3 linked regions of the Cricetulus griseus genome follow. The protein of the gene in region 3 interacts with the protein of the main gene of each other region in a pairwise test. Links are inferred from orthologs where the notes say so. Each region holds a gene or a part of one and is shown on either strand. Other genes may lie near its edges.

The links.
Region 1: the proteins of Ctnnal1 (region 3) and Rnf135 interact in binary tests that used the Homo sapiens proteins (3 or more experiments, as listed by UniProt). The two-hybrid records come from large-scale screens. The link is inferred for Cricetulus griseus from reciprocal best matches to the Homo sapiens genes CTNNAL1 and RNF135.
Region 2: the proteins of Ctnnal1 (region 3) and Dmd interact in binary tests that used the Homo sapiens proteins (3 or more experiments, as listed by UniProt). The two-hybrid records come from large-scale screens. The link is inferred for Cricetulus griseus from reciprocal best matches to the Homo sapiens genes CTNNAL1 and DMD.

Annotation. Positions count from the first base shown.
Region 1 is NC_048600.1:93,649,122-93,653,405, reverse strand, and holds the start of Rnf135 (E3 ubiquitin-protein ligase RNF135), read right to left. Parts: upstream 2,812-4,284; 5' UTR 2,789-2,811; coding exon 2,441-2,788; intron 312-2,440; coding exon 171-311; intron 1-170.
Region 2 is NC_048604.1:84,649,367-84,653,531, forward strand, and holds the start of Dmd (dystrophin), read right to left. Parts: upstream 2,812-4,165; 5' UTR 2,800-2,811; coding exon 2,639-2,799; intron 1-2,638. UniProt on the Homo sapiens protein: Anchors the extracellular matrix to the cytoskeleton via F-actin. Ligand for dystroglycan.
Region 3 is NC_048595.1:87,021,907-87,026,118, forward strand, and holds the start of Ctnnal1 (alpha-catulin), read left to right. Parts: upstream 1-1,412; 5' UTR 1,413-1,496; coding exon 1,497-1,652; intron 1,653-4,212. UniProt on the Homo sapiens protein: May modulate the Rho pathway signaling by providing a scaffold for the Lbc Rho guanine nucleotide exchange factor (ARHGEF1).

The DNA.
Region 1 (4,284 bases), on a different chromosome or scaffold from region 3:
GATCCCAGCTTACTCGAAGCTTCCATTAACTCATGTCGAGCATGCCAGATTTCTAATCACCCATATTTGGTAGTAAAGAGAAACATGAGACCTGTTGCATCCCATGTGTCATACTGCTTTAGCTGGAAGCTGTCCTTCACCCTGGCCCCTCCTTTCCCACCTGAACCTACCATGCCCAGGATGCCTAGTTCATTGTCCAATCCAGATCCCGGTCTTGATGTTTGAAGGCTCTTGACAATGTCTACAAGCTGTTGCATCAGTTCTGTCAGCTCCTGGATGACCTCTTCTGTGGTGTTTTTCTGTACTGCCACCTTTAAAAGAGTGAAACTGGGCTTCTGGTTCCCAAAAACTGGACCCAGAACCACCACTCAACAAAGGGAGCTATAAACGCCAAGGTAGCAACATGAAAGAAAACATTTAGAGTGATGGAAAAGAAGAGAGAGACAAGAAACAAATCTTCAGATATACCATGAAATAGATTTTTACAAGAATGCCAAGACTACTTAAAGGCACAAGAAGTATTTTCAACAAATACTAACTAGAAATGTATATCCCTATACCAATCAATGAAGTTAGATCCTTTGGTTTGTTTTTGAGACAGGTTGTCTCTACGTAGTCCTGGCTATATTGGAGCTCTGCACATAGACCAGGCTGGCTTGAAACTCACAGAGATCTGCCTGCCTCTGCCTCCTAAGTGTTGGTATTAAAGGTGTGCACTACCAACGCCTGGCCTGAAGTTAGATTCTTGCCCAATACTATATAGAAAATCAAATGAGAGGCTGGGTGAGAATGCATGCCTGGAACCCCTGGGGCCCTCAGATAAGTCCCCAATTGAAAAGAGTAAAACTGAAAATAGGAACTCAATTGTAAGATAATGTACATTGTAGCAGTAGTTATAATAGTCGAATGTAGAAACAATTTAAATGTTCATTAACAAATAAATTGATTAGAAAGTGATATATCTACATAGATGATATGATAGCCACCTAAAGCAAGGGTGTTCTGATACATGCTGCAACATGAATTCGCCCTGAAAATATTATGGGAATGAAAGAAGTTAGGCATGGGCTGGCTCAGAGGTTAACAGCACTGGCTGCTCTTCAAGAGGTCCTGAGTTCAATTCCCAGCATCCACATGGTGGCTCACAACCATCTGTAATGAGATCTGGTGCCCTCTTCTCTCATGCAGGCAGAATGTGTACGTAGTAAATAAATCTTAAAAGCAAACAAGAAAGAAAGGGAGAGACAGGAGAGAGAGAGAGAGAGAGAGAGAGAGAGAGAGAGAGAGAGAGAGAAAGGGAGAAAGGGAGAGAGGGGAGAGAATGAGGGAAGAAAGAGAGATATACACCCAGGGCAAGATGCCAGGCAGCTACCAGCCAGCTAGAGAAGAGAAGCAGTAAATTAAAATAAACCTTAGGAACGAAAAGTAAAAAGCTTGAAGCAAAAGGAAAAGAAAAAAGGGGGGAACAGGTTAACTTAAAGAGCTAGCCACAAACGAGCCTAAACTAGGCTGAACATTCACAACTAATAAGAAGGCTCCATGTCAAACCCGGCAGTGGTGGCCCACAACTTTAATCCCAGCACTTGGGAGGCAGTGGCAGGTGGATCTCAGTGAACTCAAGGTCAGCCTGGTCTACAAAAAAGAAGTCTCGGAGTCATATTTGGGAGCTGATTGGTGGTTCAAAAGAAAAAGCCTGGTACAGTAGATGAGACATGTGCGGAGGCTGGAGGGACAGGAATCAGGTGTTATAGCTTAGTGGGTACAGAGGTCCTATGTGGCGATAAAATCACTTTGGCAACAGCGGTGACAGATGCACAGTGTTGGAGATATGACAAATGCCATCGAACTGTACACTGAAAAAAATTGTTCAAATGGTTGGCCAGTCATGGTGGCACATGCCTTTAATCCCAGCTCTTGAGAAGCAGGGGCAAGCAGAGCTCTGCAAGTTCAAGTGGTTCACACCTGTAATCCCAGACTTGGAAAGCCAAGGAGGCAGAGATCATTACTCACTTCAGGTTCAAGTCCAGCTTGGTCTACACTAGTTAGATCCTGCCCCGATAAATAGAATTAAACAATGTTAAAATGGCAAATTTTTTAGACATCACAGAAAGGCTGTCGAATAAATGGAAATACACCTCGGTTGGATGGGATTTAGATTTTCAACTATTATGAGATTTTTAACTATCGTTTGTGACCAGACCTTACTATGTAGCTTTGGCTGCTGTGAGGCATGCCCGTCTCAGCCTCCCAAATCCTGGGATTACAGGCGTGCGATCTCCACGCCGGGCATTTCTACTTCTTTATACAAGTCTGAACTTTTCAAAGATACTCCCGAAAACAGATTAAACTGATAAAATCACGTAGCGGAAGAAGAGATCGCGAAGGCAGGAGAGGCCCAAGGGGGCGCACGCGGGCTGCCAGAGCGGTGTGGGCTTCCTACCGGCGGTGGCGCGGGGCGACTCGGCGACCGGGGCGCGGACGCGGTTGCGGGGCCAGCCTCGAGCTCGAGCGCCGCTTGGCGGTACTTGTCCGCCAGGTCCTGCAGCAGCAGGTTCTTGCGCAGCTTTGGCTTCGCCTCGGGGCCCTCCCGGCAGGTGGGGCATGCCCAGGGACGGCCATCCACACCCGCGCGCTGCGTGACCCACAAGCCATTGAGGCACCGGTGGCAAAAGCTGTGGCCGCAGGGCAGCGTGACGGGACAGTCCAGCAGCCCTTGGCAGATAATGCAGCTCAGGTCCTCCTCGCTCAACCACACAGGAATCGAAGTGCCTAGGACTGGGGCCGCCATACTGGGCGGTGGCCTGGAAGGCTCTGGTCTGCCCCACCCACTTTACTAGCTCCGCCTAGCCCACCGTATGCCCCTCCCAGCCGCTCTCATTCTTCCCAGCCTCTAAAAGTGCTTGGCGTTGCTAGCTGGTTGACCTCCAGCCTGGAAAATCATCTGTCAATCCAGTGACTCCCGCTCCTACATCCATAACAAGCAACCCTAACAACTTAAACTATGAAGAGGGCTCGCTACAGGAACTCATTTTAGTGTTGCGCCCAGTAGGTGTCGCATTTTGTTTTCTGAGATGTGCGCAAACAAAACAAAAAAAACGACTGAGTAGCAGTGCAGCGAGGCTGAGGATGAATTCAGATTTGTTTGTTAGTTTTTCGAGATAGGGTTTCTCTGTGTATATCCTTGGCTGTCTTGTAACTCGCTCTCTAGACCAGGCTTGCCTCAAACTCCCAGTGATCTGCCTGCCTCTAGCCTACCCAGTGCTGAGATTAAAGGTGTGCACCAACACCATCTGACTACTTATTTATTTATTTATTTATTTATTTATTTATTTTGGTTTGTTTTGTTTTTCGAGACAGGGTTTCCTGTGTAGCTTTGGAGCCTATCCTGGCACTCGCTCTGGAGACCAGGCTGGCCTCGAACCGACAGAGATCCTCGAGTACTGGGATTAAAGGCATGCGCCACCAACGCCCGGCCTATTTTTTAAAATAACTTTATTTATTTGTTTGTTTACTTATTTATTTATAATGTGCATTGGTGTTTTGCCTGCACATGTGTCTGTCGGGTCCCCTGGAACTGGAGTTACAGACAGTAGTGAGCTGCCATGTGGCTGCTGGGAACTTCACATCGGTCCTCGGAAGAGCAGTGTTCTAAACAGCTGAGCCATCTCTCTAGTCCCCAGAAATTATTTTTAATAATCTCCTAGCAGGGTTTTTAATTGAATTTTTAAAAAAATATTTTATTTTGGGCCGGGCAGTGATGGCGGCACACTCCTTTAATCTCAGCACTCAGAAGGCAAAGGCAGGTGGATCTCTATGACTTCGAGGCCATCCTGGTCTACAGAGCTAGTTCCGGGACAGTCAGAACTACACAAAGAAACCCTGTCTCAAAAAAAAAAGAAAAAAAAAAGAAAAAAAAAAGTAGGAAAAACAAACAACCAAGCAAATGAACAAACAAGCAAAATTCACTTTTTTTACTTTTGAGGAATTATACCAAAAAACTTTTTTAAAAAAAATTTAAATGCACTTTATTTTTAAATAACCTACATGACATGTTTTTTCTTTTCTTTTTTAAATTTATTTACTTATTTTTATTACGTATACAGTATTCTGTCTGCATATTTGCCTGCTCACCAGAAGAGGGCACCAGATCTTATGAAAGATGGTTGTGAGCTACCATGCCGTTGCTGGGAATTGAACTCAGGACTTCTGGAAGAGCAGCCAGTGCTCTTAACCTCTGAGCCACCTTTCCAGCCCCCGACATATTTTTTCTTTTTCTTTCTTTTT
Region 2 (4,165 bases), on a different chromosome or scaffold from region 3:
CTGTTCTGGGAACTTTTGGAAACAGTATGATGCTTAACTGAAAAACACAGGGTGGCACAAATGTCCTTTTGGTCAATGTGTATTCTCATCCCTATAAAGTTTGCTCTATAAAAATTTTCTCTCTGCTAATTTAAATAAAATTTATAAAAAAAATGAAATGCAAAATATTGTCTCTGACTACTGTTGACTCCCATCCCATGACAGTGTTTGCCTCAACAAATGGCCTCTTTGAACACTACCCGTTTTTTTCTGTTGAGTGTACCTCATTTTACTCTATAATGCATTCTGTCTTCCCACCTGAGTCCTTTCAATAAAGATCACAAGTAACAAGGAGCTGAGACTAGACCAAAGGGAGATGTCAGTAACATAATGGATATCTTTTTCTTAAACCATGTCCTAGAGTAGGAAGAGAAGGAATTAGCATGAAAATTTAATCAGTGTAAAGGCATTATAATTTAATGTCCATGTTTGCTACATATTTCTTATCAGTTATCATTTTTTCCTCTAAATTGGAAACTGGTTTCCTTTCAACTTCACTGTAATGGGCATTGTGTTTGAACATAAACCTTTTAAATTCCAAGGTCTCTTTGCTCTGTGTCTTTGTTCTATATAGCTTAGTCACTCAATAATTGAAATCAGGGCACTGAATGACATTCCTAAGAATGCCAATGACAATCACCTTGGAACAGAAAGTCCAACCATGTTTTTTTTCTGTAGATAAACAATATTAACATCTGTCAAAGACAAAAAGGCAGATGATTCATGAAACAGCATTAAGCAACTGTGAGGAACCTCTTGAAAACTAAACATGTAATGTATAAAAAAATAGTTATTGATGCTCATTCAGTACCAAGTAGGAAAATACATAAATGCAGATACACTGTTGCAGAGAAAGAGTGGGTCAGGGATAGTACAGGCTGGATGTTTCCTGTATTACTTAAATTATATTCAGGAATTACAAAAAGAAAATTATCAAATATGGTGTGTGAACATGCAGTGAAGCTATCTCACACTTGAAAAGAAAATATTAAAGAGCCTACAAGTAGCACATAACCTGATCCTCAATATTTTTGTTTATCTACAAATTTATACATGAAGAGAATGATCAATATTTCTTCAGGCCCTTAATGTGAAACATGTGGCTGCATTAATGAGCAGGAACTTATGATGTGGAATCAATAGCTCTATCTCTTCTTACCTGACTGTACTGAAGCTTGGAAAATGTTTCTTTTGTTGTACCTATGAAAACCAATCTGTTTACCTTGTTAAATGTGTGGATTAGGGCCAGTCAGGCTCCTTTTCACAGTCAGGTTTGCTGAATCACTCACCTGGAAACCCAGTCTGGATGGGGCTAATTAAGCCCAGCTGGAGCATGACACCTGACAAAGATGCTTACTTTGAGTTTGCCCTTGAGTTCAGCCTTATCACAAGGAAAATTTATATTCTGACCTTCTCTGTAAGCAAGAGTGGCATAGAAAAATGGTAGACTTGGAGAAAAAGAATAGGGAACAAAGTAAAGATAAATGTAAGTGACAAAAGATAACCTACATGGAGATTCAGGGAAGTTTAAGTCCAATGGCATAAAAAAATTAATTTGACCATCTTTAAAGAGACAATTAATAATAAGACCAAAAGTAGATATTTCTTGAAGGAAATGTAACTTTGTGTATCATATGTAGAATGGTGCTGTATAGCTTATACATATGAAAGTATATATTATATATATATATATATATATATAATATATATATATATCCTACATGGATCTAATTTTCTTTGGCCTATCATAAATTAATTCATTAAACTTTATTATCTAAGAAAAGTAAAGCATTATTTCATCATTTGAAGAACCATAACACAACTGAACTATAGTAAAAGCTGCTTAGTTCATTATGTTATGCTGTTATTTTTATGAAGGTCCAAAGAGCTGTTCCTTATTTCACAGAAATTGCTTCATTGCTATAGAGAAACTGCTTCTTTTGAAGTTCTGAACACTGTAATTTAGAACTCACCTTACCCCTCTTTTTGCCATGTTTGCTAAAATGTTTGGTATTTCTTTTAATCCTGATGAGAAAAAAACTTCCAGGGCATCCTGGTGTTTGCTATGTAAGCTTCTGTTTCATATGACAAATAATTACCTGTACATTATTTATCTGATTTCACTAAAACCACTTACATGACATTTACAGCAACTTTTAGTTAGTTATATAGTCTAGGCTCAATCTGATGCATATGTTTCTATTAAAACTATTAAGTCTCCTTATTAGCAAAGATATGAAATAACCTGGCTGTTTAGGAATCTCAGGATAAAATGTGTTCAGGTTTGTTTCTCCTTCAAACATCATCATATGTAACTTAAAAATTAGAAAATATAATGGTCATGGTGTTTAAAGCATGTAATCTCATTACTCAGAAATGAGACAGCACTATCATAATTTTTAGGTAGGTAAGGCCTGCCTAGAGGATACCCTAACTCAAATAAACAAGCAAACATAAAAAAGCTTTCTCTGTTAATCATATATACTTAGATTGATATTGTTAACAACACGTGGCATAGTAGAGGGGCCACACTGCAGTAAAACACACCATCAGTGTCTAAATCAATACTTAAAAACAATTTAAATCTCAAAAAACTCACCTGTGACTGTGGATGAGCGCATTCAAAGCTAGGCCATCAGACCAGCTGGAGGTGAAGTTGATGACATTAACCTGTGGATAATTACGTGTTGATTGTCGAACCCAGCTCAGAAGAATCTTTTCACTGTTGGTTTGCTGCAATCCAGCCATGATAGTTTTCATCACATTTTTGACCTTGTGTTAAAGAAGTTTTCAGTAAGAAAACACATTCCCCAAACAAGTATTCTTCACATTTTAACAAGAATGCACCTAGTTTCAGGGATAAACTGTGGAAATAATGGGGATGTCTGTGTGTGTATAAATGTGTGTGTGTGTGTGTGTGTGTGTGTGTGTGTGTGTGTGTGTGTGTGTGTGTAATGATATTTTATGGTATTTTACATTTGTTTATGCAGTAGAACATTTGTTTAATAATGCAATGATGTATTGCGTTCTTTTATATCGCATTTGTTTAACTCGGTGAAGCTGTGATTCTTTCCCTCTCTAAAACACTTGATAGTTTAATAAAGATATGAATGGCCAATAGTAAGGCAGGAGAAAAGATAGGCAGGGCTGGCAGGCAGTGAGAATAAATTGGATGAGAAATCTCGGCCAAAGGAGCAAGGTTGAAAAAGAGAGGAGGATGAAAACGGCCAACCACCCAGCCACACATCAAGACATGGAGTAAGAGTGAAAGTAAGATATACAGAAGAAAAGGAAAAAGCCCAGAGGCAAAAGGTAGATGAGATAATTTTATTAAGGAAAGCTGGCTAGCAACAAGATAAGCTAAGGCTGGGCATTTATAAGTAACAATAATCCTCTGCGTGGGATTTATTTGGGAGCTACATTTGGGCCCCTGAAAGAGAAAAAAGCAAATAGTAAAGAGTTAAAAAAAAAAAAGAAACAACTACTATAATTGGCTAGGGATCAGTTCTGTCTGATTGGTGGCTGAGAAATATGCTCAGTAATATCATCCCCACAGTCTAGCATTCTAAGCTACTGTTTTGAGAATTGCTCTTTTTGTGGCTTTCAATAGTCTAGAAATGAGAGGGCATAAAATATTAGACTTATTGTTAGGCAATAATAAGATAAATCACTAGTGTTTACAAATAGAAAAAGCAGTCATAGTAAAAAAATGTTTGTTTATAATAACAAAACTGGCTTTAGAAGGTTGTACATATATATGTATATGTATATATATGCACACCACACATACATAAGATTAATAATCAAATAAAAAGAGGCTATCAGTTTCGAGGTTGAGGGGACACATCAGGGGTTGCAGGGAGGATAAAAATGAAGTAATTCTATATCAATTAAATAAATTTGAAAACAAAAACATAGCCAGGTGTTGGTGGCACATGCCTCTAATCCCAGCGCTCGGGAGGCAGAGGCAGGACGATCTCTGTGAGTTCGAGACCAGCCTGGTCTAGAAGAGCTAGTTCCAGGACAGTCTCCAAAGCCACAGAGAAACCCTGCCTCTAAAAACCAAAAAAAAAAAAATTTTTTTAGAAATTACATTATCTTTTCCTTTTCTACTAACTTACTAGAT
Region 3 (4,212 bases):
CTGGTAACCACCTGTAGCTCCAGTTCTAGGGGATCTTATGCCTCTGTTTTTCACAAGCACTGCACATTCCAACATATAAACACAATCTAAAAGAAAAAGAAAAATTGGGATATGAGTTGAATTCAGGAGCTCTTCTTTTTTAAGGAAGAAAAGAAGCGAGTTTTGCTATCTCCATTACCAGATACCCGTGCTGCTTCGGCAGATGAAGCTAAGCCCTGCAAGTTTGCTTTCAGCACTGCAAGTTGAACCCATCAGTCTAACTTTATTGATGGAGAAAGCCAGTCTCAGATTCTTTTTTGTGTCTCGGTAGATGCTTGTTAGTAGCTATGGTCCTTCAAAAATACTTTCTTATGCTTCTCAGTCAGTTGCTTAAGTCTAGAATCCTTCCTAAGGTGCAGGCTTTTGAAAGCCTTCTTTGGCTTTGTTCCTGGAAACTGGAGGAAAAGGAGTGTTGGCACTCCTCATCACAGGGATTCTGTGTGAGCTCATGGTTGGGCTGCGAGAATGGATTCTTAGCCTTAAGTGACTTCAGTCAGAAATAGACACAATCTTTTCTTTGAAGGAGCAGTTAACACGCTGCTAGTTCTTAGCTAATACTAAAATAATTGCAAAAAGTAGTTTTAAAAAGATGGAGTATTTATCAGTGCATGCAACTTTTGTTTTTAAATTTTTTTGAAAGTGAATTCTAAAGATGCTGCCTGCAAGATCCACTGCCTTCTTGCTGAGTATCAAGATGCTTACTTGAATGTATCAAATGTTTCAACTCAGTGTGAGAGATACATAATCAGAAAATAGGAGTGAAGGGAAAATTGGGTGGACCTTCTTGGGAAGCCATGGAAAGATAATTACAAGTATAATTGCCATTTCAGGGCAGAGGTTCCCTACCATTTTCAACCCCATCTAAACTTGCAGAAATATTTATGGAGATTCAGAATTGACTTTTGAGGCAAATGGATTTGGTGGGAAACTCTGCTGGGGACAGTTGTCTTCTGGTGAGAGGCTTCGTGAACCTGGGGAGGCCCTCAGGTGTCTGGTTTCTCCTGCTTTAGGCAAAATCTGTTTTGGCACACACCCCAAAGAGGCACTGGTGCCTTCTACAGGGCGGCAGGGGTGGGACAATAGCAGCGGGTAGGTGGGGCTCCCGGGGATTGGGGTGGAGCTAAAAGGGGGAGTGCCGCCGTAGAGGCGGAGCTGATGAGCCACCACTGCGGCGCTTCGGACTATGGGGGCAGGTGGGAGGGACCAATACGGGGGTAGGGGGGCAAGGCTGGGGGCGGAACTAGCGAGGGTGGAGTGGCCTGGGGGCGGGACCGAGGCGGTGGTGCCCGCGTGGGGGCGTGGCTATAGGGCCTGGAGTCTCATGGAGGCGGGGCCGAGGCGGTGGCACAAGGCTAGGGGTGGGGCCTCGGTGCAGAGAGGCGGCAGGCGACCGGCGGCAGGCTAGTTGGCGGGCCCCTCACTGGTGCGGGAAGGTGTTGTACGATCAGTCCAGGACTATGGCCGCTTCTCCGGTCCCCGGCGGCGGCGGCGGCGGCGGCGGCGGCGGCGCGGGAGCTGTCCACTCCTCCAGTACGTCTGGCTTCGCCTTCGACTCGGGACTGGAGATCAGAACTCGCTCGGTGGAGCAGACGCTGCTGCCCTTGGTTTCTCAGGTACTGCGGCCCCGATCCCCCGTGTGCGCGGCCGGCGATGGCGGCTGCCGCTCTTCCCCGGCCCGGCATGGCGGGGCGGGAGGCGGCGCTGTCCCGCATTCCGCGAGCGCGGCGGTGGCACGGCAGGACTCGCGTGGTGGCCTGGGGCGGGGCGACCACTCCTGGGCGCGCGGTGAGGCGACCGAGCCCAGCAGGTGCGTTGTCCGGCCTAGGCGGCTGGAATCGCCTGGTGCTGCGGCTTCTGCCCAGTGAGGCCCAGCCGTGGGACGGTAGGACCCCTGTGGGGTCCCCTGGCTCCCAGAGCCTAGGCGGCTGCATCTGCGCAGTCCGCCACCGCCGCTGTCCACATCCCACGCCAGACCAGGGCGCTGGATGCAGACTAAGGCACTACAGTTTGCTCCCACTCCGGCATATTCTCCAAGGCCTTTGTCCCGTTCCCTTGACCGTGTGTGTGCTGGCCCAACTCCCACCCACTCTGGCCACCTGCCCTGTCCCTCCGTGTCACTTGCCTGCCTACCTCCGTCTGCCTGGACTAGGCAGAGTGACGGGGGAAGGAGTGCTTGGTGCTTAATCCTGTTGCACACCTTTTTGCCAGTTCTCAGTTGGGATTAGTGCATTATTGTGTTTGTGGGTTATAAAAGGAGTCTAGAATCAGCTAAGTGATGTGCTTAATAAAAATTAAAAAAAAAAGAAAGAAAGGTTTGTTTCTCCGAGCTGAGGTATATATACATAACCTGAGGGCTAGAATTCCTCACCTACAGTTGTGGGTACTATGCCAAACACCAAGTGAAGAATTTTGTCTTTGGCTGCCCGTTGGCGATGGGTGTGACTCATACTAAGCTGTAACATCTTGGTGACTCATGCCAGGATTGCCAAGATTTTAGAGATAGAGTCTTAAATTATCTGACTCTAAATTAAAAAATAATTTCTTACAACAACACCTGGCCACCGATGCCTTACATAAACACTTTTAGTGAAGGGGAGGTTGTCAGTATTCCATAGACTTTTAAATGTTGCCTCTGTTCCAGCCCAGTCCAGAAAATATTTGAAAGCTGTAATTTTATATATGTCCCCTGGATTATCCCCATTTTCCTCCCTGCATCCTGTGATTAGCTGAGCAGTGGTTACTACACTCTGCGGCTTTCCCTCTTCCTGAGTGATGGACGTATGGATCAATGGGAAGAGTGCTGTTGCTCCTTTTCAGTGTCTACACTTCCTTCCACCCTGGAGAACTCCCCCCACATCCCTATCAGCAGGAAAACAACAATCCATAAGTGGTGAGAAATGCCCAAGCACTTCTACACAAGGGAGAGGGATGAGAGTAATGGACTTGAAATGGATAGTGTTTTATCCATCTATTTAATACTCGATGCAGGCTGTGTTCTAAGCACTCTGCCAGTGCTAACTCATTTAATTCTTGACCACCCATGGGGTGAGATATATGCATATTCTCATGAAGCAGATGAGGAAATTGAGGGTTAGTTAGATCAATTAACCTGTTATTATCGAGTTCAACTCTTAACTGACAAATTGGAATTTGAATCCAGACAGCTTGGTTTCAGTAGTCAACTTTTAGCTACTCCTGTGTCCCTTCTAGAGATTAGAGGAGGGGATGAGGTCAGCACAGAGTGGTTACAAAGAAAAAGTTTCACAGTAGGAAAACTAGCCAGAGAGCTTTAATCTGGAAAAAACAGTAACTTTGTATAGTAGGGTTGCTAAAAATTTACCAGTACTACACAGCTTTATTTTTATTTTTATTCTGGAGTGTGGAGAGTATTTACTGCTAAAAATTAACTAGAGGGGTAAACAATCCTCCGGGATTGGTATGAGGCCTTACTCAGGATCACAGCAGAGGTACCGCACACCACAGTTGTATTTCTGTCAAGGTCCACAACTGATAGGCTTAATGGTAGACTGTTCTCAACAAGACAAAATTAAGTTCCCCATTGTATCAGGAGATGCATAAGGCATGCTTATGATGCTTGATTAACAAGTCAGGGAAGTACATAAAGATAATTTAGACTGATTTTAAAGTTTCAGTGAATTTAAAATATTAAGACTGGGGCTAGGAATATAGCTTAGTTGGGATGCTGGCCCTTGGTTGGTTCCCAGTATCACATAAACATTGGAGGTTCGTGTATGTCATCCCAGCACTTAGGAAGTAGAGGCAGGAGAATTAAGAGTTTGGGGTCAGCCTGAATTGTGTGAAGCTCTCTCTCTCTCTCTCTCTCTCTCTCTCTCTCTCTCTCTCTCTGTGTGTGTGTGTGTGTGTGGCAGCGGGAGCAGGGAGTGGTTAGCTCTCTAGAAAGTTTTCATGTCCAAGTGTTTCTCTGCCATAGATAGAGCACTATTATCCAACTAATTTCTCTCCAAGAATATTTTAAATACTTTAAGTAAGGATTTATCTCACACTTAATAGTTGCTGCTCTTTAAAGGGCATATATTTTAGTTGGGAGGTAGGGCGTGTATAGAATAGCAAACACACACACCAAGTATCAAATGAATATTATCAATAATAAATGCTCTGAGGGCTCTGATGCTTGAATCAGGGATGACTCTG